Bombyx mori: one gene and its partner. The protein of the gene in region 1 interacts with the protein of each later gene in a biochemical or structural test. Links are inferred from orthologs where the notes say so. Each region holds a gene or a part of one and is shown in the gene's direction. Other genes may lie near its edges.

What was found.
Region 2: the proteins of AP-2 complex subunit mu (region 1) and autophagy-related protein 9A interact in a biophysical measurement, tested with the Homo sapiens proteins (4 studies listed by BioGRID and IntAct, with this or other methods). The link is inferred for Bombyx mori from reciprocal best matches to the Homo sapiens genes AP2M1 and ATG9A.

What each region holds. Positions count from the first base shown.
Region 1 is NC_085114.1:2,139,981-2,155,475, forward strand, and holds the end of AP-2 complex subunit mu, read left to right. Parts: intron 1-374; coding exon 375-534; intron 535-3,674; coding exon 3,675-3,908; intron 3,909-6,164; coding exon 6,165-6,303; intron 6,304-7,741; coding exon 7,742-7,849; 3' UTR 7,850-7,863; exon of another isoform or gene 7,864-7,873; intron 7,874-8,309; 3' UTR 8,310-9,332; downstream 9,333-15,495.
Region 2 is NC_085107.1:14,151,244-14,167,707, forward strand, and holds part of autophagy-related protein 9A, read left to right. Parts: intron 1-1,346; coding exon 1,347-1,478; intron 1,479-2,669; coding exon 2,670-2,844; intron 2,845-3,283; coding exon 3,284-3,430; intron 3,431-3,893; coding exon 3,894-3,960; intron 3,961-4,632; coding exon 4,633-4,796; intron 4,797-5,579; coding exon 5,580-5,693; intron 5,694-6,933; coding exon 6,934-7,149; intron 7,150-8,973; coding exon 8,974-9,084; 3' UTR 9,085-16,464. UniProt on the Homo sapiens protein: Phospholipid scramblase involved in autophagy by mediating autophagosomal membrane expansion. Cycles between the preautophagosomal structure/phagophore assembly site (PAS) and the cytoplasmic vesicle pool and supplies membrane for the growing autophagosome.

The sequences.
Region 1 (15,495 bases):
ATAACTACCGGTACCATGCCCCTGACGCCTTTTTTACAATAAAATAATTTTTTCTTACACTATTGTTAATCCAAATTTATTTAAATTTATTTTCTATTTCTTAGTTGGATTTTCTATAAAAGCGTATTTTGTTAGTTTTTTTTAAGCTATTATTTATTTGTCATTTTTTAGTTGAATTTCAATTTTTCATATATGTTTTTCAATTTTATTTTTAATATTGATATGTCATCGGTCCTTAATAAGTAGTATACCAAATTTCGAGTTAATCCGATGTTTTGAAGGGGGTCAAAATCATGTTCAAAGATTCCGTTACAAACATACACATACGTCTGAAGCTAATAGAAGCGTATTAATTAAAAATCTGATTCGTTCAGGAGGCATATCGGGTAACACGGACAGTGATCCGGCTCGCTCTGGGAAGCCAGTAGTGGTCATTGACGACTGTCAGTTCCACCAGTGCGTGAAGCTGAGCAAGTTCGAAACTGAACATTCCATCTCCTTCATACCACCAGACGGAGAGTTTGAACTCATGAGGTTAGTGCTCTGTTATTTATCCTGAGTCGATTAAATATATCTATACATATAAATAAAATTGGAGTATCTGTTTGTAACATTGAAATAACAGCTTTTCATTACGTGTATATGAATATATATACGGTACATACACCAAAATAACATTTTTAAATTTTTTTGTCTGTCTGTCTGTCTGTTTGTTCCGGTTAATCTCTGGAACGGCTGGACCGATTATGACGGGACTTTCACTGATAGGTAGCTGATGATATAAGGAGTAACTTAGGCTACTTTTTTTAGACTAGCTTAGCCCCGCGGCGTCAACCGCGGCACGACAAATAATCGTGGGACCCAGTTTTTTTTTATTGCTTTGATGGGTGGACGAGCTCACAGCCCACCTGGTGTTAAGTGGTTATTAGAGCCCATAGACATCTGCAACGTAAATGCCTCACCCATCTTGAGATATAAGTTCTAAGGTCTCATGCCCGTATCTTTAGACGTTTTGTAAAATAGTCCTCCACTCTTAACTCATTCGATGATGCTCGAGCATTCCTCCCAAACTTACTCGAGTTTGGTATTTTTAGTCGACATTACAATATTCCTCAACTGTCCTCGAGTGAGGTAGAGAGGTGTTATTGCGTCACCACAACAACATCAGTTTGAGGAAAATTTGATCAAGCTAGCATCAAACCCATAGAGTTCTGTAGTCTATGGTCATTGTTTAATGTGTGTGAATTTGTTAACATGACACTAGATGAACTTGTTTGATGTTTTGGTTGCTGAGTTATTCGTAAATATGTGTGGGTGCGGTAAATCTGAAAGTGTATTATTTATTTTCTAACCTATTATTATTTTAGATTTCGCATCCGGCTTTGTATTTTTATTCGCCGCTTTTGTGTGATTTTGATTGCATTGTGTTGTTGAAGTGCTTTTCCACAACCACCAGTTTATTATTATATAAATAAAACTTATAATCGCATTGACTTTATTTATCAGGTAGTAAGCAAAATATGACTCTTATGTAGGTAAATAAAATAAAGAGTTTCAAATGTCTAATCACGAGCCTAAACAAGATTCTTAATCTCGAACTATTTACTTTATTAATAAATATTATCAAAATTAAATTATCAAAATATGCGGGATTCATGCACAGATCCAGGCCATTGCGCAACAATATCATATATTTCCATATGCGGTCCACATACTATTTGGACATTGATAGAAAACCAGCCTTGAAGAACGTTCAAGGTACGTCGCGACGTACCTTGATTTGACAGTTCGCTTACTTCACTCCGGTTAGGAAAATTTTCCAAGGACGTTTGAGTGGAGTTTATTTTTACGACTAAGCATATAATAGCCGGCAAACTTCTTGAGCATTTGCTGACGTAGTGGGGGTAAGTTCGCGCATGGTACACTCACGTGCAAAAACATTACTTACTCTGCGTCATAATGCTATTAAATTATTAAAATCAACATATGTATTTATTTATATATTTATTAGAACATCAACAAAACATATAGGTTAATAATTGTAATGATTTAATCTTGGGATAAAATAGATATTCCTTCTATTAAGTCAAAACTAGAGCTGTTGCCAGGTCTTGGTTCAGTTGAAGCGAAGCTGGTATTTGTAGTTTTTTTTTTCGTTATCATTATCTTGACCATCATCATCATCACTGTTTTCATCACCCGAGTCGCTATCATCGTGATGAGTCGACATAGGGCTCATCGGCGTAGTTTAGAACTCGGTCGATTCGGTCTTCTTTTTTGTCTATAATTAATTATTTTTTGAAGATATTTGATTCGTAGTAATCGAATGTTACTTTTTTCAATTACCAGCTTCCGATTATTTTCTGTTCTTTTTTCCATCTGAAGCCTAGCTCTTTCATAATTCGTCGTAAGCTTCATTCCGAGCCATTAAAATGTATATCTTCTTTAAATTTTTCGAAGCCTTTCTACGGTACGGAGTTTCGCTGCTTGTTATGTAGTTATTATGATTACATCTTTTTATTACAGATTGAACGAAACTATCCATTCCGGTAACTTTCTTCTTCCCTGATCTTTTCTTACCCGGAGTCCGAAACACGGCGAGCAAGCCAGAGCCTCTAGCTTCGTTAATAATGCACCTAACAGTACTCACTGATGTTTTTGTTGCTTCCGAAGTCTGTTTTAATTTTTCCATATCATTCTTCCCCTGTTTTACAATGAAGCAATATACGTCGTACACAAATTTTCTACTCTTTCTTTTGAATACTACACCAGTTTTTCACGGCATAGTGTTTGTTTTATAAAAAATCAACAAACACTCAACAAATAGCAATGGCAACTAAGTCCACAAGCAATTATAACAAATAACTTAACGATTAATAACGATAGACTTTTCACTGAACGCAAGCGTACTTTTGGGAGCAAGCGGAACGAGGGCGCGGTGCGGGACGCAAGGTTCGACTGATCTACCAATAACGCGCTCGATACGATTTCCCCTGCCGTCGAGCCTCACCCTCACCACCAAAGTAATCTAAAATTCGGTTCTGCGCAGTCAAGGTCATTTGCTCAAGAAGTTTGCCGGTTACTATACCAAAACGCGCGTTGGAGGTTGAGTCGAGTCGAGTTAGGCTCGTGTGAACGACTAAAGATACAGGGGTCAGTATAGTTACAACAGCTGCCCCACCCTTCAAACCGAAACGCATTACTGCTTCACGACAGAAACAGGGAGGGTGGTGGTACCTATCCGCGCGGACTCACAAGAGGTTCTACTACCTAGTCACTACATAGTATAAAACAAAGTCGCTTTCTCTGTCCCTATATCTATCCCTATGTATGCTTAAATCTTTAAAACTACCCAACGGATTTTGATGCGGTTTAATAGATAGAGTGATTGAAGAGGAAGGTTTATATGTATAATAACATCCATTAAATAGTGGAGAAATCAATAATAAATTACAGTTTTCGAAGCGAAGCGAGGGCGTGTCGCTAGTATTTTTTTTTATTGCCCTTCTAGGCAGACGAGCATACGGCCCACCTGATGGTGAGTGGTTACCGTCGCCCATGGACTTCAGCAATGCCAGGGGCAGAGCCAAGCCGCTGCCTACCGAATTAAATAAATTAACCTAGTAATAAGAAACTATAACCTAGTAATAAATAAATATAAATATTATCAACAGGTATCGCACAACAAAAGACATATCTCTGCCGTTCCGCGTCATCCCGCTCGTGCGGGAGGTGGGCCGCACCAAGATGGAAGTCAAGGTTGTGCTGAAGAGTAACTTCAAGCCCTCCCTGCTCGGACAGAAGATCGAAGTGAAGATTCCAACTCCGCTGAACACCAGCGGGGTGCAACTGATTTGCTTGAAGGGGAAAGCGAAGTATAAAGCCTCTGAGAACGCTATCGTGTGGAAGTAAGTGTAGGGTTTTTGTTAATCTATCTATACATATAAATAAAATTGGAGTGTCCGTTTTTAATATTGATATAACCGCTTTTAACTACATGCATATGAATATACCTAGTCAGGTCATAAATTCTGTCACATGTTTAATGTAAAATAATTGAAACAAGTTTATTCATTATGTAACCAATCATATACCAAAATGAACTTAACAAAACATAGATTCTTATGACACTAAAGTTTATTCAAAATGACCTCCGTGATTTTGAATACAGGCCTTCAATCTGCGCGGCCAGTCGTCTATCGCAGCACGAACGAGGTCCATGTCAATATCGGCGGCTGCCTTAATCAAGGATGTCTTGAGTGACTCCAAATTGGGATGAGGCATTGAGCACGCCTTTTTTTTTTTTTAAGAGATTTTATGTCCTGGTAACTAAGACCTTTAAGTCATGTCTTATTTTACTTTATATTCTTAATTTTATGAAAAATGATAATATGGAGTGAAATTAAATGAAGATGATTAATTTGAGACATTAATCAACTGGGATGAAATTTAATGAAATGAAATGATATGGGATGAAATATAATCGCAGTAAAATGGTGGTCATTTACTGAGATTTTTTCAGTGGACTTTTTGGAGGAACCCGAGAAGTTACGTCCAGCAGCTTTGTTTCATTTTCCCACATTTGTGCACTTTCACAAATATTAAACAGTTAACAAACCACCATTATTACACATTTAAACCTGAAGAAACACTAAATAGACAAAATAAAACAAATCACACAACTTCACTCCTCGCGTTCCCGCCAAAAAGTCTGAGCACGCCTTTTCCTCCAAGTGTTGCCATATCTTGTAATCTAACGGATTCAAATCTGGACTGGAGGAGGGCCAGTCTTCGTGCCGGATGAAGTCGATTTCACGCGCCGCCAGCCAGTCTTGTGTGCTCTTCGCTCTATGAGCTGGCGCCGAATCTTGTTGGAATACCCAGTGCCTGTTATTGAACATGGTATGAGAAACAGGTTCCACAAGGTTCGTCAGGACTGTATTTTGATACACAACTGCATTCGTTTTTACACCTTTCTCACAAAAATGTACCTCTGTTAAGCCCCAATAAGAAACTCCCAACCATACCATGAGCGAGGATGGAAAATGACCTCGTTGGACACGCGGAATACGGTTGCTCGCTTCTTCACTACTGTGTGCGTACACCTTATCATTTTGTTTGTTGTAGCTCTCTTCTACGGTAAAAACTTTTTCATCCGAAAAAAAGAATTTCCCGATATTTTTTTCCCGCGTACCGCTTCAACAAAGCGCGGCATCTCTTCAGTCTCAGGTCCATTAGACGAGCATTCAAACGATGTCCTGTTTTTCTTCGATATGCCCGAAGCCCTAAGTCTTCATTTAACACCCTTTTCACCGTGGTTCTGCTTAACCCCATCTGAAGGGCCAACAGTTTCTGCTTACGTTTGGGATTTCTTTGAATTCGCGCCTTCACAGCTTTTATCACTGCTGGAGTCCTAACAGACCGAGGGCGACCACTTCTTGACCTGTCATCTACACTAGAGTCTTCATTGTATGGTTTGATGGTACGATAAGCGAATCTTTTGGTTATATTCAAATTTTTCAGTATGTTAAAAATTTGAATTGGCGCGTAACCGCAACGATGCAACGCAATAACTGCAACACGGTCTTCTTTAAGCGTCCACTCCATATTTAAAAATGAGTAAAATTCTAAAAGTATACATTTTTATTTTCATGAACAATTCGAAATTCGAATTCAATAAACTTTTTTGTGGCCAGCATTCTAAAAGAAAAGTTTTTACTGTGTGACAATACTTCTGACCTGACTAGTTATATACGGTACATACACCAAAATAACATTTTTTACAATTTTTGTCTGTCTGTCTGTTTGTTCCGGTTAATCTCTGGAACGGCTGGACCGATTTTGACGGGACTTTCACTGATAGGTAGCTGATGATATAAGCAGTAACTTAGGTTTTTTTTAGACTAGCTTCGCCCCGCGGCGTCACCCGCAGTACGACAGTAACCACGGGTAACGTTGCGGGACTCAACTATCAATAATAAAATTTAATGTTTCCGAAGCGAAGCGAGGGCGGGTTGCTAGTAAATAATAAAAATCTTACGTTACGGACGTTTTTTCCCGGTTAGGGTACCCCTCTGCATCGTCCCATAAGGAACTTCGTTCCAAAATATACTTTGGTGTAGGTAATCGTGCTAACGGTTTAAATGAATTTTGAAAATGTTCAGGATCAAGCGCATGGCGGGCATGAAGGAGACCCAGCTGTCTGCGGAGATTGAGCTGCTCGAGACCGACACCAAGAAGAAGTGGACGCGCCCGCCCATCTCCATGGGGTTCGAAGTTCCCTTTGCACCCTCCGGATTCAAGGTGATCCTTGTTGTTGTGCACGACCAACGAGCTACACAAATCATTAGAGAGTTGTGCTTAAAAATAAGGGGCTAATAAAAATCACATATCGAGAAGTGAAAGGCCATTTGGTTTAAGCGACATGTTTCTAATGAAATACGCACTCAACAAATGTTCACGATTGACTTCCACGGTGAAGGAATAACATCGTGTAATAAAAATGAAACCCGCAAAATTATAATTTGCGTAATTACTGGTGGTAGGACCTCTTGTGTGTCCGCGCGGGTAGGTACCACCGCCCCGCCTATTTCTGCCGTGAAGCAGTAATGCGTTTCGGTTTGAAGGGTGGGGCAGCCGTTGTAACTGTACTGAGACCTTAGGACTTATATCTCAAGGTGGGTGGCGCATTTACGTTGTAGATGTATATGGGCTCTAGTAACCACTTAACCCCAGGTGGGCTGTGAGCTCGTCCGCCCATCTATGCAAAAAAAAAAGATATAGATATACTGACTTAGATATACTGACTATCCCATTACACAGGAGCTTACATATGGACAATGTTAAGTAGACGATGGTGGGGATGCTACGAAGAGTCGCACAAAGAGGAGACCGAGAACGTCTAATGTGTTCTATCTCATTCTCTCGCCGGCTGAATCCTATACATTTATATGTTTGTGTCTATGGACTTATTTTTTCCTTTCATCGAGTTTGAAATCACGATTCTAAAGAAGTTTCACTTCAAGAAGGGTTTTATCACATACACACGTTCAAAGATGTCAAACTATTTAATCTTCAAGAAGAGACTTGATGTAGCACGTCGGCCGTTCTCGTTATCATCATTCTCCTGCCCTTCTCCCAGTCACCTGGGGCCAGCGCAACATCTATCATATACCATTACTTCGCTCACTCCCCCCTTACACATATCGTCTTTCACGCAAAGCATCCATTTCCTCTTAGGTCGACCTTTTCTTTTAAAGCCTTCCACGTTCACAGTTAAAACTCTCTAAAAACCTCATTGTTATATCATTCAGGTGCTCCTATGTTGTGATTGGGGGCGCGTTGTAATAACTACATAGCCGATTCTATGGACCGAATGGTAAACAGTCGACATCGCCCAAAACACGTCATTACGGATCCTCCCGATCCACTAACGGGGCTTTTAGGTACCTCAAGCACCAGTCATCGTTCTCGTTGAACCCGTCGCTTGAGACGAAGGGCTCGACGAGCGAATTAACCCATAAATACAGCCCACTGAGTTTCTCGCCGGATCTTCTCAGTGGGTCGCGTTTCCGATCCGGTGGTAGATTCTGCGAAGCACGGCTCTTGCTAAGGTTTGTGTTAGCAACGACGTCAGGTTTGAGCCCCGTGAGCTCACCTACTAGTTAAGGTTGCGCTGACATGGTCTCTCCCTAGACCATCAGCTTCGGTAGTAAATAAAAAGGGCGCGTTTGGTCGGCAGGTTCGCTACCTGAAGGTGTTCGAACCGAAGCTGAATTACTCGGACCATGACGTCATCAAGTGGGTGCGCTACATCGGACGCTCCGGACTCTACGAGACCAGGTGCTGAACGACGCGGCGACGGTGAGTACTAGTAAGTAGAGAAGCAGGAGTTCTTTTATTGCTAAATTGGCTGGACGAGCTCATCACCTGGTGTTAAGTGGTCACCGGAGTCTACAGACATCAGCTATGTCAATGCCGTCACCTATTTTATTTATTTATAGCTTAGATAAGTGGACGAGCTCACAGCCCACCTAGTGTTACGTGGTTACCAGAGTCTACAGACATTTCAACAGCTGCCCCACCATTTAAACCCAAACGCATTACTGCTTCACGGCAGAAATAGACGGGGTGGTGGTACCTACCCGTGCGGACTCACAAGACGTCCTACCACCAGTGACTAGAACCGACCGAAGAAGACATGGATGGAGTGTGTGAATGACGATATGAGAGAGAGAGAGAGGAGTGAGTGTAGAGCGTAGAGCTTAAACCAAATAGCCGGTTCGATATAGTCTATTGTTTTGTTACAGATTGGCTTCGTGAATCGCAACGAGTACGAATATTCGAAAAATACAACAAAAAAAACAAACCATACAAATACAATTTAATGTAATAGCTATGCTGTATATAATTTTACGTTTCATTTCGATTAGGGAATATTCATAATAAAATAATGTAATAATATTTTATTTTTATTCTTTTTTTTATTAGTAAATTTAGCATTTTTTTTTATTGCTTTGAATATCTTAATTAAAAAAATGTTGCTTTTATTTTAAAATGTTTGAAAGGCACATGGAATAGACTACAGTCTTGAACATTAAAAGATATACCCTAAGTAATTATTTTTAATTTTCGTATAAAATCAAATAAAATGGTAAGGTTTCAATTATGTTTTATTAAAATAAATAGTAAAGGCGTAGTTTTTATTTATTCATTACATCATTACAAGTTTGTTTCTAATATTTTACTTTTATATATATATATTTTGTATCATACGAATAACATTTTAGCTAATCTAAATAACGATAGCTCTGAAAACTACCAACCCGTCTGATCTAGACCGTCACAGAAGTAATTACTATTAAGTCGTATAAAGATTGTCACAGCTATGTTTTATGAGACAAATACCTAAAAAACTTCAGACGGTATATTACATATATATATATTATCGTGACGTAAGCGGTGTAGTTAAAATAAAATAAGCTTTTCCTATGATAGATAAACCTTAAAGTTAGTCGGTTATCTGTGTCGAATCTCAAAATGAAAAATTAAAGCATTTCTTGAGCTTTTCGATGAAAAATTATGCATAAATATATTGTGTTATTTGTAGCCATTCCCGTAGATGCTGTGAGTATATAGAAGTAGTTATTGTTGTACGCTGTTCTACCTTATATATTAATTGAATCTATAGTTCGAACTTAACGTTATGTCTTGAAAATCTAGGCAACTAGTTAAATATTTGATTATATTTATAATTAATATATTATACCATACTAATATATTCGTGTAACAGTGTAGTGTGAAAGTATATAATAAAGAATTAAAAAAAATAATTGGCATTTGTTTTATTTACCAGAAATCGGGTTTAGAGCATGTGTGACGTCATATTTAGTGAGACAATCATAATTTATATTTGGTTAATCAATATTGGCCCAAAAGACCGGAAAATTTTACATATCGTATATATCTAGATCAGAGGTGTATATGTAAAGGGGAAAAATAATTCGTTCACGCGGTCCGCACACACTTGTACACCCTCCAATCCCTACAATCCCGATTTTGCAGGTTAGCCGTTGAAGTTCCGTGGTTCGTGAGGAACGTTAACCTACATGACGACTTGGACCTCGAATCCATCCGGAAACATATGAAGTCAGCGTCGGAACGGTACTTCGATAAGGCTATGCGTCATGATAATCGCCTTATCGTTGCCGCCGCTGACTACTCCCCGAATCCTGATCATGCAGGAGCCAGTCACCGTCGACGCCCTAGACACGTCCTTACGGATCCATCAGATCCAATAACCTTTGCATTAGACGTCTTCAGCGCTAACACTACGAGTAGGCTTAGGAACCCCGGTAACCATACTCGTCGAACTTTTTTTTTTATTGCCCTTGTAGACACGAGCGTACGGCCCATCTGATGGTGAGTGATTACCGTCGCCCATGGACTTCAGCAATGCCAGGAGCAGAGCCAAGCCGCTGCCTACCGCTTAAAATAGTTCAACGTGCAACCTAACCCATTCACCATCAGCTCGCTGAGTTTCTGGCCTATCTTCTCAGTGGGTCACGATTCCGATCCGGTAGTAGATTCGTTCACGAAGCAGTTACTCTTAAGTTGTTAGGTCTCCTTTGGAGGCGGTCGGGTAGCTGTTAACAAATCTCACTCCTCGTTGAGCCCTTGCTCATCCACCTTTTTTTTTATTGCTTAGTAGTTACTGGAGCCAGTCAGGTCATAAATTCTGTCACATGTTTAATGTAAAATAATTGAAACAAGTTTATTCATTATGTAACCATTCATATACCAAATTGAACTTAACAAAACATAGATTCTTATGACACTAAAGTTTATTCAAAATGACCTCCGTGATTTTGAATACAGGCCTTCAATCTGCGCGGCCAGTCGTCTATCGCAGCACGAACGAGGTCCATGTCAATATCGGCGGCTGCCTTAATCAAGGATGTCTTGAGTGACTCCAAATTGGGATGAGGCTTTGAGCACGCCTTTTCCTCCAAGTGTTGCCATATCTTGTAATCTAACAGATTCAAATCTGGACTGGAGGAGGGCCAGTCTTCGTGCCGGATGAAGTCGATTTCACGTGCCGCTAGCCAGTCTTGTGTGCTCTTCGTTCTATGAGCTGGCGCCGAATCTTGTTGGAATACCCAGTGCCTGTTATTGAACATGGTATGACAGACAGGTTCCACAAGGTTCGTCAGGACTGTATTTTGATACACAACTGCATTCGTTTTTAAACCTTTCTCACAAAAATGTACCTCTGTTAAGCCACAATAAGAAACTCCCAACCATACCATGAGCGAGGATGGAAAATGACCTCGTTGGACACGCGGAATACGGTTGCTCGCTTCTTCACTACTGTGTGCGTACACCTTATCATTTTGTTTGTTGTAGCTCCCTTCTACGGTAAAAAAATTTTCATCCGAAAAAAGAGTTTCCCGATATTTTTTTCCCGCGTACCGCTTCAACAAAGCGCGGCATCTCTTCAGTCTCAGGTCCATTAGACGAGCATTCAAACGATGTCCTGTTTTTCTTCGATATGCCCGAAGCCCTAAGTCTTCATTTAACACCCTTTTCACCGTGGTTCTGCTTAACCCCATCTGAAGGGCCAACAGTTTCTACTTACGTTTGGGATTTCTTTGAATTCGCGCCTTCACAGCTTTTATCACTGCTGGAGTCTTAACAGACCGAGGGCGACCACTTCTTGACCTGTCATCTACACTAGAGTCTTCATTGTATCGTTTGATGGTACGATAAACGAATCTTTTGGTTATATTCAAATTTTTCAGTATGTTAAAAATTTGAATTGGCGCGTAACCGCAACGATGCAACGCAATAACTGCAACACGGTCTTCTTTAAGCATCCACTCCATATTTAAAAATGAGTAAAATTCTAAAAGTATACATTTTTATTTTCATGAACAATTCGAAATTCGAATTCAATAAACTTTTTTGTGGCCAGCATTCTAAAAGAAAAGTTTTTACTGTGTGACAATACTTATGACCTGACTAGGTATATTAATTCCTTACATATGAAATTAGCGTTTTGTCCTACTGACCACTTTGATCTGAAATATCTCCGCTTTGATTAAGAATTCCAAATTAAAATTTATAAATTCATTTAAAACAGTCATTCATTTGTTTTTTCCTCATAATTTTTTTCTTTGGCGTCGCTTAATTCTGCGTAATGGTAAACATGAAATATCTGCATATTTACGAGTATGAGTATGAGTTCTGCAGCACGGATCCACGGTAGGATCCGTGCTGCAGAAACAACTCGAAGGATTAATGATGTGTAGGGCGCTGGTGTCACAAAAGAAAGCACGGTACGCTTTTTGGTTTCAACGTTTTCGTTCTGGAAATTTCGACCTTCAGAACCAACCGTGAACGGCCGGAGACCAAAGTGGAAAATGAAGAATTAAATGCTATTGCGGAAGCGGATCCATCACAAAGCATAAGCGGATAAAACTGTATTAATCCACTTGAAGCAAATCGGGAAAGTAAAAAAAACTTGAACGATGGGTACCTACCTCATGAATTGAGTGAATCGAACTTGAAAACACGCATCGACTGCTGTGTTACTTTGCTCAATGGACACAATAATTAAGGGATTCTAAATCGTTGGGGCCAGAAAGTTCTTGAGTGGTGACCGCGTACTGGAAGACGTAGCGTGGGTAGGCCTCCCACAAGATGGGCCGACGATCTATTGAGGTTCGCGGGGATCCGCTGGATGCAGGCAGCGCAGGAACGGTCTTTGTGGCGAGGCTTGGGGGAGGCCTATGTCCAGCAGTGGACGTCCATGGGCTGATAAGAAGAAGAAGAAATCGAATCATTAGTTGTGATGAAAAGTGGATACTGTACGATAATCGAAAGCGCTCGTCGCAATGGCTGAACCCCGGAGATCCAGCCAAATCCTGCCCTAAATGAAAATTGACTCAGAAAAAGTTACTTGTGAGTGTTTGGTGGATTAGCGCCGGTGTCGTTCACTACAGCTTTCTTAAATCTGGCCAAACGATTACGGCAGATATCTATTGTCAGCAACTGCAAACCATGAAGGAAGAACTAGTTGCTAAACAACCGAGATTGGTCAATCGCTCTAAGCCACTGCTGCTTCACGACAACGCAAGACCACACACTGCACAACAAACAACCACTAAGTTAGATGAGCTACAATTGGAATGTCTGCGACATCCACCGTACTCTCCGGAACTAGCTCCAACAGATTAATATTTTTTCCCGAATTTGGACAACTTCTTGGTAGGCAGCGGCTTGGCTCGTCCCCTGGCATTGCTCACGTCCATGAGCGACGGTAACCACTCACCATTAGGTGGGCCGTATGTTCGTCTGCCTATAGGGCTATAAAAAAAAAAAAAAAACTTACAAAAAAAAATCAACTCCGACGCGGCAGTCCAAACCGCCTTCAAAGGGTTTATTGATTCTCGCCACCATGGTTTTTTTTTAGTAAAAGAATCAATGAACTACCTATGAGATGGCAAAAGTGCATAGATAACAACGGTGCATACTTTGATTAATTAAATACATTTTACAACAAAAAAAATATGACTTTGTATTCCTCCCGTACAAAACGCCAATTTCATATGTAAGGACCTAATATTTATCTTTGTCGTAAGAAAAGACAAGATTCGGGGATCGCGATAGGGGGAACGCTTTCAAGACCTTAAAGAAGAAAGCGGTTTCGCCACCTCACCAGTGTGCTTAGTGAGAGGTTTTTAAAGTTCTCGATAGCGTAAAAGTTAAATCAAATTTGTATGCAGATCAGTGGAACAGCGCCCCTAGCGGCAAACGTAGGCAAACGTTCCAACTCCATACAAATTTGAGTTAACTTTTACGCGATCGAGAAGTTAAAAAACTCTCACTAAGCGCACTGTTTCAAAATCGAGATTCGTCTTTTACGTTAAAATTTCAAAAATACTTCCTGCGTTCTCACAAGACGTGCAGTCGTAACTTCACCAAGCGCCACACAAGGGAATCAAGTTTGGAAGAACGATTTTTCTTGGCGGAGCGTGACTGAGGCAAGAGATTTGTTCCTGAAGTAAAATTAAGAGGTTGCGGTCCTAAGTTTCAGATATTAATTAATTATACAAAACGCGACCGAGCCCTGTTTATGTACAACTCATTTATATTTGCTCGAGTTACGAATCCCAACGGTAATGTTGCGAAATGAACGAACATATTTGTTTATTTTACTCTTCATTATACAGAAAACAGACTAACAGCATAACCAAATGAAATATTCAGACTTTATCGTATTAACACTACTAGGGGTCCTTCGGTAGTCGAAATTCGACTATAATTAATTGAGATTTTAAGTTTCAACATTATTGTACTTCTGTAATCACAGATTTCGCCAAGACTACACTATAGAAAAATAACATTAAAGAAGAACAATATTAGTTTATTCTCAATTTAAACAATAACAAATGCTTGACAATAAAGAGTATAGGTATGTGTTGTGTCAACATACATGGTAGTGTGTGTAACGTTTATTGACTTAATGTATTTTTTATGCATAATTTAAAAAAATATTGCACTTCTTCTCTATAAACACGTACTCAATAAGTGTGAGAAATTTCATACTACTCCGTCTTTTTTTTTTATTGCTAAGATAGTTGGACGAGCTCACAGCCCACCTGGGGTTAAGTGGTTACTGGAGCCCATAGACATCTACAACGTAAATGCAACACCCACCGCGCGGACTCACAAGAGGTCCTACCACCAGTAATTACGCAAATTATAATTTTGCGGGTTTCATTTTTATTACACGATGTTATTCCTTCACCGTGGAAGTCAATCGTGAACATTTGTTGAGTACGTATTTCATAATTCAATTTCGTGTTTCACACGGAGATATTTTAACTGAGGATAAGGGCAGCCTATAGCCGTAGTAAATGGAGACCGGTTACTTGAATTCACTGATTGAGCTCACGTTTAAGAATCACGAAAATTTTTGGTTAAAAGAGTATAATTCTTTCATTAATTGGATAATATCGCTTTGTTTTGGACACCAATAGCTTAGAAACAAATATAGCTTTATTAGCTTTAAAATAAATATACCTAGGACACGCTTTTCAATGGGTCGAAGTAAACTATTATAAATACAACACAGAGACGAACGGTTCAAATTTTTAAAAAATACCGCATAGACTGCAAAAGTCGATTGAAAGTAATGTTATGTTTGACGTCATTTGTGGCCAGAACAAACGAAAAATTACAGGACTAGATTGAAAAATTTCTTATAGAGTGCAGTAAGTAGTATGACCTCGAGCAGAGAGAGAAATCTTGAAACATCATGAGACGCGTCAAGTCTGCTCCCTTCAACGGCACGTGACGACCATGGACCACTCTGTCAAGAATGAAACGATTGAGTAAAGAAGAAGCACAGATCGTATATTAATAAACAATGATTAGCTATTTACGGAATAATGCATTGTAATTGCTTTTAAGCTTGACGCGAAAACTAATTAAATCACAAACGTAGTGATCGTGTCATTGATTTAAAAAAAAATTATTGCCCTACTGGCATACGAGCATACGGCCCACCTGATGGTGAGTGGTAACCGTCGCCCATGGACTTCAGCAATGCCAGGGGCAGAGCCAAGCCGCCGCCTACCGCTTAATACTCTCCACAAGCCTCATTTGAAGAAGGACATGTCATAGCGCTCGGGAAACACCGTGGAGGGGAGCTCATTCCATAGCCGGATGGTACGGTATAATGGTAATTTAATTAATATTAATGGTAATTTAATTAATATTAATGGTAATTTAATTAATATCCGTAACAAAAAGTTTATGTTTTATATAATTGGCGTCATTTGTCCGTACGCCCCATTTGGAGATTCGTGAAAAAAGATGAGATGTTCTGAAATCAATTGAATTAATAAAGCCGAAATGTCCAAAGCGTGAAGCTGAAAAACTTTCTAAATTTTTATCACTTTATTTTATGAGAAACATGTAACAATGTTA
Region 2 (16,464 bases), on another chromosome or scaffold:
CTGGAATGGTTCTGTTTACATCAAGATGATGATTGGATTTTGGAGAAATCCAGAAAAATCTGTAATTGTCAAAGCCTATCTTGAAGTGATTTGGGTGTTTCAATGTTGTAATGAATAACGTATTTATTTGGATAAGGGTTAATATCAATATCATCTTTACACCTTCACAAATAATGCTTTATTTTAGAACAAATTTGGTTAACATAAAAAACGTTATAGTGAGCCAACCTTAATTTATAGACATATGCTGTCGCGGACTTTTTTAGATCTTTTAAAGGAGAACAATTCTCTAATACATACTTTAGCGAAACTTTAACCGTTTCCATAGCGCAGGCAGTGAAAGCTCTCAAAAGAAAAAAAAACCCGATTTGACACATTCTTTATTGGTGCTCCGCTTGTATTGGTCTTAGCGTGATATTATATAGCCTATGCTTTCTATACTTATACTAATATTATAAAGAGGAAAGATTTGTTTGTTTGTTTGTTTCGAATAGGCTCCGAAAGTACTGGACCGATTTGAAAAATTATTTTTCCATTAGAAGCCGACATTGTCCCTGATGAACATAGGCTACTTTTTTTTAAAAAAAATATTTTATTTTTTTGGTTTCATGTGTAATTTAATGTTTCCGAAGCGAAGCGAGGGCGGGTCGCTAGTCTTCAATAAATGGGCTACTTAACATTGAAAGAATTTTTCAAATCGGACTAGTAGTTCCTGAGATTAGCGCGTTCAAACAAAAAAAACAAACTTCAGCTTTATAATATTAGTATGTAGTATTATGTATACTATAGTACTATAGTATGTGTAGTAGTATATAGTATGTATGTAGTAGATTTGCTTCTTTCACTTATTTTATTTTAAATCGTATACAAATATAGTAATCTATACCATACTAATATAATAAATGTGACAGTATGAGTGAGCTAAATCATGAAATATTTTGGCTCATGCTCAATGAATTTGGAAGAAATTTCTCATACAAATAATTTGCAACCTTGATCACACAAAGCATAGTTTACACGTACGATAGTGTGTTCATTGGTTCGTCATATTACGTAATGGATCTATAAATCGATTGGTAATTTATAGACATGGGAGAGTGACGAAAGCAAGTTTTTGTGTTGATATAATGCAACGTGTTTTATTTTGAATAACAATTTTAAACACACAGATAAAGCCAGCGGGTGCATCTTGTTAAATATTTATTTTTTATTTATGTTATATATTTACAGTATGTTACAGGTTTTATTGACGTTGTTGATCAGGCGTGTTTAAATCGCGTGCAGTTGTCATCAGCTAAAAACCAGGATGTCTAGGATATTTTAGAGATATTGTTTTTTTTTTACAGAAATGTAGTGTTTCTCTCGGCCAGCGTGTTGGGTGTTTTGGTCTTCCTGTCCGTCTATGATGAAGACGTGCTCACTGTGGAACACGTGCTCACTATCATAACGGTTCTCGGGTGTGTTGTGGCCGGCGCAAGGTAAGAGTAGTTAAATACTGTTTTATGTACTTATTTATTTAGGCATTACTTGATTTCGTGCATACTGATAAACACTAGAAGAACATTATACATCTAAGTATCGCTTAAGATAATAAAACCTTATGTACATTTACAATGGATATAATTCCGTGTTTAGACAAATATGCGCACGCTTGTTCAATAGCAGTAACAAAAAACGAACAAGAATCATGTGGGTAAGGATTATTTGTCCAATATTACATAATTATGTGGGAACGAATCTAGATTATGTTTTTAAGTTAGTTTTTTAAGAAAATGATTTAGTAGGATATGTGTAATTGATGTGAAAATTATATCCATTTGGATTGAATAGTTTAATTTCTGCAATAAAGCCCATGATCCCAATTCAATAATTCCAGTGCGCATGATATCTTATTTCCTCGTCAATTGTCTCAGCAGGATTCGAGTTATTAGAACTCAAGCCTCAAACATCAGCCACGGCCAAATTTAATTAAACTAGTGGTCCCACAGTAGTCGAAACTCGACTATAAGTAAATGAAATAATAAGTTTAAACATTATTATAGTTCTATTGTCAAACACTATTATACTTCTATAATATAATCTTCCATAGATAAATAATATTAAAGACAAACAATATTAATCTATTCTCAATTTGACAAAGACTTTAAACAATAACAAAAGATTGAAAATTGACAATAAACAAAAAGTAATTTATGTATGTATGGGTTGTGTCAAATATATTATGGTAGTGTGTGTAATATTTTTTTAATGATTTAATGTATTATGCATAATTAAAAAAATATTAGCATTCTGCACTCCTTCTCTATATTCGCTATAAGTGTGGGAAATTTCATACTCCTCCCTCCGCGCAATTTTCGTTAAAAAGGGGTACAAAGTTTTTGCTTCACGTATTAATATATCGACGCTTGAAAGGCAAACGTGGCTAAGCGACAATGCGTGATCTTTACAGTAGACTAATTTAAAGTTGAAATACCTAAAAATCTATTTTAACGAATCTAGCTGTAAGATCTGAATGATTTTAATAGACTTAGATAAATTTTTTTGCGTATTGAATATGGTTATTGCCTATCATTTATGTATAAAGCAGTTATTGTCGCTTAGTCACGTTTGCCTTTCAAACGTCGATATAGATTTAACCACATGGATTCGTTTTGAAACGTGGTTTTTAGGGCTCTAATAGGCGACGAAGAACGTCTGGGCGGTGGTTGTACGGGCCCGGCTCGCGGCGAGGAGCTGTTTGTTCAAGTACTGGGACACGTTCACTATTTGCCAGCCGCGTGGCGCGGTAGGGCCCACACGAAGGACGTCGCAGCACATTTTCAACAGTTGTTCCAGTTTCGGGCGGTACGTTGTTTTCCGAATTTATTATCGGCTTGTTTTTTTTTTTTTGTTAATTTGGATGCCTCCGCTCGAGATGGGTTAACAGATCGGAAGTGTGAATTTCGTTTGGACTGTGACCAATCGAAATCATTTAAACCAATTTTTTTTTGCTATATGCTGATAGCTTTGTGAGGCTATTTCAGCGTAACCTTAACTAGTAGCTCACGGGGCTCAAACCGGAGTGTTGCTAACACTGACCCTAGCAAGAGCAGTGCTTCGCAGAATCTACCACCGGATCGGAAACGCGACCCAATGAGAAGATCCGTCGAGAAACTCAGTGGGCTGTGTCTGAGGGTTAATTTACTCGTGGAGCCCTTCGTCGCAAGCGACGGATTCGAAATTATTTGTTTAATGTGAAATTTTATTATCGTGTTTTTGTTATTTATTATATCTTATACTGCAGGTTTACATAATATTCGAGTTGTTAAGTCCTCTGCTCTGTCCTCTCGTCCTGTTGTCGCTTCGGACACGAGCACTCGACATCGTCGATTTCTATAGGAACTTCACAGTCAACGTGCTGGGTATCGGCGATGTGTGTTCATTTGCGCAGGTAAATATCTAACTAATATATACATAATATATATATATATATATATATATATATATATATATATATATATATATATATATATATATATATATATATATATATATATATATATATATATATATATATATATATATATACGTTAGGAATATGTGGTAAATAACATTTAAACGTAATAATTCTCGTAGTTACGACGTTTTATTTAATTACTCCAATAGCGCTCATATAGTGCCCTACCATCGTCCTCCCCAAATTAAATAAAAATTATGCATAATCACTAATTGTTATAAAAATATATACATAAATATAATTTTTTTTCCTAAAGAAGTTTGTCGTTAATTTTTCAGTTCATAAATTCAACTAAGTGTGAAGTCGGTATTATTTATATATTTATATCATAGAATTCGAGACAACATTCAACGTAAAAGTCATTTAAAAAGAAAAGCATTTTTGAAAATCGTTTCAGCTGGATATACGACGTCACGGTCATCCTGAATGGCAAACACCAGGGAAATATGCTGAAAAAATGAACGGTTCGTTGTGATTCTTATTTTTTTAAATGAATAATAGAGAGGGTAGTCCACAGATGTTCAAATTTGACCATAACCAATGTAAATTGGAACTCAATTTTTTATTACTCAAGTTTCTCGTTTATGATAATTTTTGAAGATTTTAATCAATTAATTAAGTAAATTATTACAGTCCAGTCCAGTTTTATTGGTCTTCTAGGTTAAGTGCTAATTGCAAACTAATCAATAAATCGTTTGTTGAAATTGTAAATAATCAGAGGGTCAGTTTGGACGCTGTGATTCTGTATAAAGTATGAATTCAATCAGATAGTAAAACACCATTTATTAAGGGATTTGCAAATTTATTTATAGAGGAAAAAAGTGTTAAACCATATTTTGTATAACTCATATTTCTGGTGGTATTACTGGTGGTAGGACCTCTTGTGAGTCCGTGCGGGTAGGTACCACCGCCCTGCCTATTTCTGCCGTGAAGCAGTAATGCATTTCGGTTTGAAGGATGGGGCAGCCGTTGTAATTATACTTGAGACCTTAGAACTTATATCTCAAGGTGGGTGGCGCAGTTACGTTGTAGATGTCTATGGGCTCCAGTAACCGCTTAACGCCAAGTGGGCTGTGTGCTCGTCCACCCATCTAGAAATAATAAAAAAAAAACAAAATATTTACTTATCCCGATAGGCAGTACGCAGTACGATCAAGGTGAAGGTGGGAAGACTGAGTTGTCTCTGGTAGCGTTTTCATGTCGGCACCCAGGCTGGCAACCCACAGAGCCATCGCAGAGGTACTTCCTAAAATCACTGAAGCAGAGCATGTACCAAGCGATTCCTTCCAACAATCAACTCGTAAGTGTAATATTTTAGACTAAACACTTTACAAGCTTATTCTCTCAGTGTGTAAGCATATAATTGGTCGTATGAATTAAAATTAATATTATATGAATTAAAATAAATTATATGAATTAAAATAAATTAATAAATCTCAAATATTTTTAAGAGGATTAGAGTATACACTATATTATATTTTATTGTATTTACCAATTACCAATAAATAGGAATAAATTATGAATATTTATTTAATACCAACAATTTATTGAAATATACACATCTATCTATTTATTTTGTATAACTTTTAAGAAGTAAATATATTTGTACATCCAAAGTTTTAAAAAATAAAACGGATGTTTCCTTTAGATGCTTAGGTACAAATTGATCTGAATAAATGGACGTATCACAAATGTAAGCTTTACAGAATGAACCTTCTGTAGTTTATATTCTATTGTTAACACTTTCAAATAAATAAAAAATAATGCATTTTAATAATCTAGAATAATGTAAGGATACTAATGAATTGTTAATTGAATTAAACAAACATGAGACATTCGTTTGAATTCTTAGTTTATTCACGCGTGCTAAATATTTTTTATAATATTTACAAATATGTATGTTTACAAATTCTATAATACATATTTACAATGGAAATATAGCTTACATTTTAAATTGGTACAAAAAATTATAATAAAGTGATAACATGGAGACGATTAAATCACAAATTGATGCAAAGCATATTTTACTAAAGTAGAAGGTTGATTTTTTTTTTTTAACAAAAACATATTTTTACACTTACAGAATAGAACCATGCTTGGTTCATATATCCAGCAGAGTCTGTTCGGTGCTGTAACTCCACTTCCAGCCGTACTCTCATATTATCCGCAACAGACCAAGCAGAACTACAGGTTACCAGTAAGTAAAATAGAATATTAATTCAGAACAATAAATAATAGTTTAAAAAAACTAAAGAACACGCTTTATATAAAATTCAACTAAAAATAGGAAATAACAACTTTTTTTTACACTTTTTACTCGATAAATCTACAAAGTTTGAATGAAATCTGGCCGTTTAAAGTGGTTCAAAGTCGCGTCTAAAGAACTCAGTTACAAACATACAAACATACATACAAGTGAAGCTAATATAAAGCGTATAAAAATAGATTTAATTTCAAAACGCCCCATCAATAGTTATCACTACACCGATCGGACTTTGTATCGAAGTTTGACTACACGTACAGGATCGGCGTGAAACGTAAGCTCTCGCTGATCACCAAACATATGACTGTAGAATTTGAATTTCATTGAATCACTACTAATTCTTATTGGAATAATTGAGTCTCATTCATCTGGCCAGAGATTGAATACTATATTAACGGTTTCAATCGAGTTTCAATAAAGAGCGGACGGTTAGCGTGGTATGATGGACATGTGAAGCGTAGAGAGAAGATGCATGTGACAAGGAGATGTATGGAAATGGTAGTGCAAAGTAGAGGGGGAAGAGGTCGACCGAAGAAGACATGGATGGAGTGTGTGAATGATGTTATGAGAGAGAGGGGAGTGAGTGTTGAGATGACGGCTGATAGAAGAGAATGGAAGAGAAAACTTAGTTGTGCCAAACCCATCTAGACCCATCCCATTAATAAGGTGAAGAAAACGAAGAATATTAACGGTTTTTTTATTGTTTAGCTGGGTGGACGAGCTCACAGCCCACCTGGTGTTAAATGGTTACTGGGGTCCATAGACATCTACAACGTAAATGCGCCACCCACCTTGAGATAAGTTCTAAGGTCTCAGTATGGTTACAACGGCTGCCCCCCCACCCTTCAAACCGAAACGCATTACTGCTTCACGGCAGAAATTTTTTTTCGAAGAATTTTAATCAAAAAGTTGTGTAGAGTTTAGTATATTTTTCATTTTTTTTATTGCCTTTTAGGCAGATGAGCATACGGTCCACCTGATGGTAAGTGGTCACCGTCACTCATGGATGTCAGCAATGCCAGGGGCAGAGTCAAGCCGCTGCCTACCATAAAATATAATATCGAACATGGATAGAAAGATGTAAAGATTACGATATTTTCCCCTACCATCGATTTCAGTAAGAGCGAAATAACTGATAAATGAGAGTATGTCTAATCGAAAGATACGTTTTCAGGAAATGGACGAGCTGAGTGATGAAGAGGAACCGCCGATCCCGGGGCCCGCTTCACGTTCCGCAGCTCGTTCGACGTCCTTAGGTCTCGCTGGTGTCAGTTCGGCTCTCGGAGTCAGCGCCGTGGGGCTCGCTCCCCAGCAGCAGCAGAAACCGGGCGACGACACGCACGACATGTCCGTCAGCACGCTACATCTATACGACTTGCATCTGTCGAAGGTATGTGTCGTGGCGGGCAACCTCTTTGATAAAAAAAAACCCTTTTGACAGGTCATAAGAACTACAATTTTTTTTTGAAGGGATTTTATGACCTGGTAACCAAGACCTTTAAGTCATGTCTTATTTTAATTTATATTCTTATATTTATGAAAAATGATAATATTGAGTGAAATGAAATGAAATGATAAGAAATGGTATGGGATGATATATAATCTCAGTAAAATGGTGGTCGTTTACTGAATTTTTTTTAGTGGGCTTGTTGGAGGATCCCAAGAAGTTACGTCCAGCGACTTTGTTTCATTTTCCCACATTTGTGCACTTTCACAGATATTAAATGGTTAATAAACCACCGTTATTACACATTTAAACCTGAAAAACACTAAACAGACAAAATAAAACAAATCACACTACTTCACTCCTCGCGTTCCCGCCAAAAAGTCCTAAGAACTACAAAGACTAGACATAGACACAGATTAAGACAGACATTTCACAAGAATTCAAAAATAAAGAGTGTAATGGAACGAGGGCGTACGTGACTAGCGGCAGGTGGTACATTTTTTGACTTCCTAAAAGACGGACACAAACGAGACGACAAGGAATGAATTGACCGTTCTCATCTATACTCTATACTAATATATATAAATCTACAGGGGTATTTACGGATGTTCCGTTATAATTACTGAACCATGCATCCGATTGACTTGAAACTTGGTATTCATGTAGAAAATACATGTACTTAATGGACAGATTAATATTTATATGAGTGTTGGACTCTACACCAGTACAGTTGCGGGGGCGTTAATGATGAGAATCTTTGTGGGGGTGAGAAATAATAATGTTAATTTTAAATGCCCAGCGAAGCGGACGGGTACAGCTAGTATACATATAAAATAGTCGACAAAAGAACGAATCGACCGTTCAAGTGGTCCTCCTACCGTTCAAGTGATCCTTCGACCGTTCAGTATGAATTACTTTTCCTTTACCCGATAGTCCCAAATATAGTCCCAATACCTAAGGAATCTGAGATGCTAAGACGATATAAAGATAATTCTCGGTACACGATTATGTCGCTTCTCGATTTATTCTCGAGAGGTCCGACTCAACTGACTCGTCTGTAATTCAGTTCTGTATATTAGACGAGATAACAGAAAATATATATCGAGGGGTGAAAGGCTATTTGATTTAAGCGAAATTTCGCTTAATACGAGACATTTATCTTTGTAATTAAACGTCGGGCTTTTTTAGTCGGGATTTATTTTTTTCCGTCCAAGGTGTCATTAGTACTCTCGTCTGTCTTCATTTTTGGAAGCGGTCTCCTAACACCCAGTATATCTATATATTAATACGTGAAGCAAAACTTTGTACTCCTTCTTACGAAAATTGCACAGACGGAGGAGTATGAAATTTCCCACACTTATAGAGAACATAGAGGAGTGCAGAATGTTAATATTGTTTTTAAATTATGCTTAAAAAATACATTAAATAAAATAAAAAATACATTACAGACACTACCGTGTATTTGACAAACACACGCATGCATACTATTTGTTTATTGTCAAACTTTTCTTATTGCTTATAGTCTGTGGTCAAATTGAGAATAGATTAAATAAGGTTTGTCTTTATTAATATTTTTCTATAGTGTAGTCTTGGCGAAATTTGTGATTACAGAAGTATAATAAATAGTTTTTGAAAATAGAATCATAATAGTGTACAAACTTATAATTTCAATGAACTATAATCGAATTTCGACTACCGGGGGACCACTAGTGTATAATATATAAATGTGTGTGGTGTATGAATATTAAAGTTATCCTAATATTTCAGGCTGGCCCAAGTGAATCCGCGTGCTGCACTAACAACTGCAGCGGGCGACAGCGTGACGAGGGCCCTTACCACTGGGGCACCGAAGAGACGCCTCTCCTACACCGTCCCTAACATTGGACCTTGTCCTCGCCCTGCGTCCCGAAGCATCCAGTCTGGGTGTAGAACATCGCAGCGCCGAGGCAAAATCGACGACCGGTATACTATGTTAGTGTCTATTTTAGATAAACATGAAACTGTTATTTGCGTTCTTTATGCCCTAACATACGGGTCTGGACTCTAATACTGTTTTTATGTAAACGGTAAAGTGTGTGTTTTTGCGTTTGGATGCGCCATTATTTCATCGTTAGTCGTCTGATGTATGACGATTAATTTGGTTTATTCGCTGTTATGATACGACCGTTTAGAACGTAGCTGTGGTCTCGTTTGGATTAAAAAAGAAAAAAATATATTTTTGTTTTGTTAAATTTTCATTTATATAGACCGGTGGTAGTGGTGGCTAACAAGTTGAACGGTAAACGTTATTAAAATTATTAAAAACTGATGACTCGGGGTTAACGTTCGTACATGTGTGGGGGTAAGCATTCGCCAGCCTTCATTCGGGGTTCATTAACTGAGGTTGTTGACTTGTAGGTTTTGTACGTTTTCCAATGACGGCTCCGCAAAATAAAAAGTAAACTACACTGATTGAATTAGTTGACTCCCAAGTTTTGTACGCTTTCCAATGACGGGTTCGCGAAATGAAAAGAGAAGTGATAATGATATCGATTTCTGGATTAGAATTAGTACTTTGTTTTCTTTTTTTTGTTAAGGTACCATATTACTTGAGTCTTGTGTTTAGGCCCGGTTTCTTTGCATTCTGCGTTTTAAACGTAATACCAATATTTCAAAATAAAAGTATAACCGTACAAACATTTAAAATCTGTAGCAAACGTATAAAAAAGCTAAAGCATTTTTATTGAAACAAAATGAATAATTAACAAATTTCTAATTTTGTTTCTATCAAAGTTGCCTTACTCTGACTTGTTGCTCGTCTTACCACTATCACTAAATAAAAACAAAATAGAATGGCACGTGAGCTCTTTATGTCAGATTCTTGTTTGTATTGCGAAGTGACGTCACCAGTTTTGGCCAACACATTGGTGAGCTTGGTCAAATCACGTCACCAATTTGATGAGATCGAGTATTTTTCTAGCATAATGCAAACGATACTAACAGGTCCGCATTCTAAAGTCGTATCGTAAAACAATATGTAACATTGATGAGGTTGGTTACAGATTTGCGCGCCCCTACTTAGAATGTGTTTGCGGATAAGCATACAAATTTGATCCGCTTCGATTTGCCCAAAAGAGTAATATATTTTTTGAGTCACGTTTTGAGGTGATTTTTTACCATAATAGTGGTCAAATTACGACGAAATTTCTATGAACCCAACCACGGATAGTAAGGTCGATTGTTTGTAAAGGAATTGTTGCATGACGTGGATTTGACATTTAGATGAATGCTTTTCAAAGCTGGTACTCAAAGCGCTTGGCTTTGTTTTTCTAAGCACGTTATTTATGTATTTATGCAAATCTGTAACCACAGTCTGTATTGATAACATTTTGAAAAAAATGAAAAAAATATATATTTTTGTAATTGTGTATTTTTCGTAGGTTTTTGATTTGATGGAACGCATCTGTCATTAAAATAGGGTTATAACACAATATGACGGTTGCAAGTGAATACTCAATTCAAAGCCGGTTTGCATAATACATTCGTGTGTGCTAGCTCTTGGATGCTGATCAAATTGATTTATGAAACAGGATAAAAAATTAAAAAAAAAAACGTTCTCATGATTAAAATGTGATAGAAAAAGTGAAAATAAAAAAAAAAGCATCTTAATATAGAATACGTAGTTGTTACATATTTTTCGTATACTTCTTTTAATATATATATACTCATTCCCAAAGAAGCGATGTAATAAAATTGATAAAAAATTAATAAAATTTATTTCTTTACATATTATGGCTTTAAAGAAACAAAAATGGTTATTAAAGCAATACTAGTCTAAGTGTAGTTTTTTATAGTAGTACACGTATTGCAAAGCTAAACATTGGCTCAGATTTTTTCACATTTCTTATTGAAGTGCGAATATTAGTAGACAATGCTACTCTTACATTCGTTTCGAATGAAGATGTTTAATTGCTTTAGTTGAAAATCGATGCATATTTTAATAGATAAAAGAATTTGATTACTGTACTTGGGAATTTTTCATTTCTTCGTTTTGTTTGATTCTCTATAAAATGTAAACACGTCAAGAAGTGGATTTTAGTAATTCGTTCCTTTTTTTACCCACAAAAATAAAGAATTCCTAATTTTCTAAATCATGAATCAAGTTTTTTTTAGATCATTATCGCATTGTAAGCTACGTTTGCAAAACTAAATTATTCATATGTCAACCTCGTTCAGCATCAAGTCTAAGAACTAAATTGATTCAGGGATACAATATCCAAACAATGGTGGCCACAAACAGTCCTACTCCAGAGTAGGTTAATTTCTGGGTCAGCAGTTTCGCCGAAAATTTCCTCAAAAACATCACATTAACCTGCTACAGCTAATTCTTAACTAATTTTATTGCATTAATACAAAGTTTTATTAAACGAAACTGTTTCTTCGGCAACAATAACACTAATCACCAAAATAAAAATTGCTCCTTAGAGATAAATCAGGATTACTACTAACTTCCGCGATAAAAAAAAAAAAAACGAATGGTGAACTATATGTGTGATATTGGTATGCACCGAAAATTCGAGGGTTGTCGTCGCAGCCAAGTCTCTTAAAGATTAGACACTAACGATCTATTTCTTCTCTATAACACCAGACTTGACACAATTAAGGCCATGAATGCCCACCTTTTGGTACTTAAATCGTTGCTATACCAAAAATACGGCACAAGTCAAGTTTGCTTACTTTTCAGCAAATAACCGGAGACACATTTAAAGATTTTTCAAGTTACAAGTGTTCGCTTTTCAATAGCTAGTAATATCTGTTTAAGTGTTTGTTTCTACTGAAAACTAAGCAAGTATGAGTGATGGGTTGATATTGTCAAAAATTTGCATCACAAGATGACGGAGTATTCGTTTCGATTTTGACGTTCTAATTTTGACAGCTGTCAATAAGTAGAGATGTGCAAACGCATTTCTATAATACTAATAATATGAACTAAGAACCGATACAAAAATATATCTCCTCTGATGTGTTTCTGCAGTAGATATTGAGACAATATTTTTCACTCATTTCTTGCTCTGTCGGTTGGCCTTATTTATTCGTTGTGATATTTTCAGTCGAACTTGTGATTTAATACTTATATAAATGAGTACTTATTCTACAAAGATCGGTTGGCAAACAAAGCGAGCGATTTATTTCAAAATTTTGCATATTATCGTGTTTATGAAAAAGATATGAATACTTATTTTTGGATACCTATGAATATTTTTCAAAATTTTTGTAATCGTGAAAACTTTGATAGTAGAAAAAGGTAAAATCATAAAGAAAATAATATAAGAAGTTTTTGTGGAATACCTTTTTAGGTCACAAATCGTGTTCATAGAATCTGAAGCAATGTTATATTAGGTGAGTTTATTGATAATGTTAACTCTTTTTTATTTCGACACTTGGGAAAGAAATGATTGTTTGAACATCAGTAGGGAATACGTAAGAACGTAGGGTGCGCATAATGCTGCTTGCTCGCTTACGCTAAATGCTCTACTTGGAAATATAAAAACGATATCAAAAAATTAAAAAAAGAGGTATTTGTTCGTTTAAATATCTTTTTTATATCCATGTAAATTATAGAAATATTTTAGCAATTACAGAACGAAAGTTATGTTTGAAAATTATTAAACAAAAACAGTGATTACGGGAACATTGTCAATTTCGATTTGCTAAGATGTTATAAAAAAAATAAACTTTAAAGCTACGTAGTACGAATATGCTTAGTTTACTTTTAAAATTTATAATGTAAGGTTGTGCTTAACAATATTTCAGTACAGCGAATATGTAATTGTAGAGAACACGAAACCAAATCCTATAAGATAAACATTTACGAATAAAGACAAGGAAGGGCTTTGAAGTATGTTCTTGATTCAAATTTAGTATTTGTGTAAATATAGTAATAAAAAAAAATTTGATCGGGCATTATTTTAATTGGGCTGTGAATTATTTGATATCGAAGTTGAAATTTTACGTACAAAATAGCTTTATCTGGTATTTTATGAGACTTTTTATATATTGGAAGAATAATGAAATGATAGAAATCAAGCTAGGGCAATCAATATAGGTGTTTCAGTGGTAAATTAAATGAGAGTATTACAGCTTCTGTGCTGATTAAAAATTAAAGATCTCTTTTTGTTATTGGAACCCATGTTTGACGAAAATAAGTGCATTACTCTTTGAATAATAACTCTATAATTATTTATTTCCTTGCACTTATACCTTATTGTTGTGCTGTTGCCAGTTCTCTCTAGAAATATTTCTCTTTAATATAGTAGTCTGTGGTTTATTAACCTTAAAAGAACGATACTACATGATGTATTATAAAAAAAAATCTGTTTAATTTTGATTTTGTTGATTTCGCAGTCTATCCTTTTCTAGTAATGCACAAACGTGTTTACTCGTATATTTAGTTAGACATTTGGCGTGGAAGATTTGTAGTCGTAGTTTTATTATTAAAAAAATATGTACATTTTTATGTACTTAGTTGATTTTATTTTTATATTTTTTAACAATGTCATGTAATGGAATGGAAAGGAATGTTGTTTGTGATGTTTTATTTTTATTTTGTTGAATCCATGATGATGAAGTCCATCATTTAACTATGACGGGTAATTTACTAACAGTGTCTAATATTAAGTAATTAAAAAGTTAGTAATATCTCGGTAATGACAAATTATAATAATACGAATATGTTGACCGTTACAGTTAAATTTTGAATCTCATCCTTTAGTTTTAATGTTGAGTGTCCATTTTAATTAAATATCTAAATATACATGCGCCTTTTATATCGAATTCTCCCTTTAACTAACGTAATGTATAATTATATTTTCAATCTTAATTGTATATTTATAATGTTCTATGAGATTTATTGTAAAAACAATGTTCGAAAATTCCCTTAACTGAATTTTTATAGTTACGGCATTGAGTCTTCTTGGTTTAAATCGGTTTATTAATTCAGGAATAGTAAAACATTTGTCAAATAAATTAAATTCGATGTTTATTGGCTAAAAGCTGAGCCGAGTAGGCATTACTCAATTACGTAATATTATGTTATTAATGAAAATGAAAAATAACCTATCATATTAAATTATGTACTTGCACGAATAATCAACTACATGAGCAATACGTATGCGCAGGCATTTGACAGTATTGCCATATTCGTCGTTTGGAAATGTTTGTTGCTACAAGACAAAAAGACAAAAGTTGCGCCATGTTGTCTAATGTCAAAATTTGAAATGTTTAGCCAAGTTAGTGTATATTGGCGATTGGTATATTATCAAATTAAATTATCTAAATTAAGTTTCGGTGATCAGTGAAAAAAAACAACTGAACAATTTTGTTAACAAAATAACAAAATCTTTAATAATGTTGTTGTGTGCAGCGGCCGATCATCGCGAACTATGATAATTTAGATTGGGATTTAAGAACTTGAACGACCATACCGTTTATAGATTGCGTTTTATTCGTTGAATAGCTTTCATCACATGTTTTCGAACAGTTATTCTTTGAAAGGCTACAAATTGAAACAATTTAGAGCTCTTTTAAAAAAATAATTTGAAAAAGCTTTCAGTGTTGGTTACACGCGTTGCGTTTTTAACTTGCTTGGATTTGTCGAATCGCGGGCGTTATCACGAGACGTCAAACTTTTGAAATGTGACGTAAGAGTGGTGACGTAAGAAACGCTGGTACGGTGTGAGTAGCGATCAGGATAGTGGCTGACAGCATCAAACTTAAAGTTATCCGTGTGTGTTCATGTGGAATTAGCGGCGGACCGCGCGTCGTGACTACGGTGCTTTGTCATTTCAACCGGTTTGTTCTTGTTGCCTAACGCCTCGCCAAGAGCACAGCGCTCGCGATCTATATGCTACCAAGCACTTAGACGTAAACAAAAAAAGTATTAAATTATTTTTATGAAAAAAACAAAAAAAACGACCAATTTCGAAATACATTTGCAATATTTAATCTACCTCTTTAACTGTACTAGATAGAACTATATTATATTTATATAATGACGTTTATGTATATTTTTTTAAATGCGTATGAGCGAAGCCCTATCCGATGTAGGTCGAGTCAGAGTACAATTAAAACGTCATAGAAACATATAAATACAGATATCGATAAAAACGGTTGTTGTGAACGTTTCATACACTTTTGGTCAAAAATTATGTGTAATATATTCCGACATTTCAATTTAGAACATTATTTATATAGGAATTATTAAATTATAGAATTCACGAAGTCACATGCATGTGAAATGTTGAATGCATGTTGAAATATAATGTTAAAAACTTAACATTTAATTATTTGAGGTTATTTTTAGTGGTGATTTTATAAGCAATATTAGTTGGCACTGTTTATAATCGTAATGTTATGCGTAGCTTATATTGACGTGGAGAAAAAAGAGGATTGTGGATTTAATAATAAAATGTATTTTCATTGCACCCGAATGCAGGAAAATTCATGAGATTGTTGTCTTTAAGCACTAAAATCCGATATAAAATTTTCGAGGGTAGTTGTCATTTCACAACAGTATTTATTTTAATATAAACGATTGACTAATACCATTTGGGCTGTATCAGCGATAATCTCTAGACGGCTGTCACAGTTTAATCGTATTTTGTATTATTTGTCGACGATATATTTAAAAATTTCATAATATTTTTCTATTTCTTCACTATAAACTTTGCGCTGTACGTACTCTCAATTTTAATAATTACAATTACATTTTTGTAGAGTACTAGCAAAATGTTATACTCAATAAAGCCATTTATCAAGCGTATTAGGTATTAATAAGAAAAAAAAAATTAGCGAAAAGCTATAAATAAATACAAAAAAAAAGATATGTACGAATAGCTATTACGGTTTGAATATTATATTATATTTATAGATTAGTCTTGTGATGTGTTCATTTTTAATATTTTAGTGCCATTTTACATTGGCACGTTTCTTATAATATGTGTGTAATTATTTAGTAATTTTCGTCGGTTAAACTGTCATGTATGTACGATTTGTAAAGTTTATTTGTAATCAAACAATATTTGTGATTGAGGAGCATCTAAACAAAAATAAAGACATCAAATATCGCATTATTTTTGGTAATTATAATATAAAATAATCTTCATATATCTTAAGAATTTTTGATTTTAATATGAAACGAAATCTCCCCGTTGTTGATAACACAGTTACAGATTCTTGTTTCCGGAAAATTTGGTTATTTATGTTCAGATCAGTGTAATG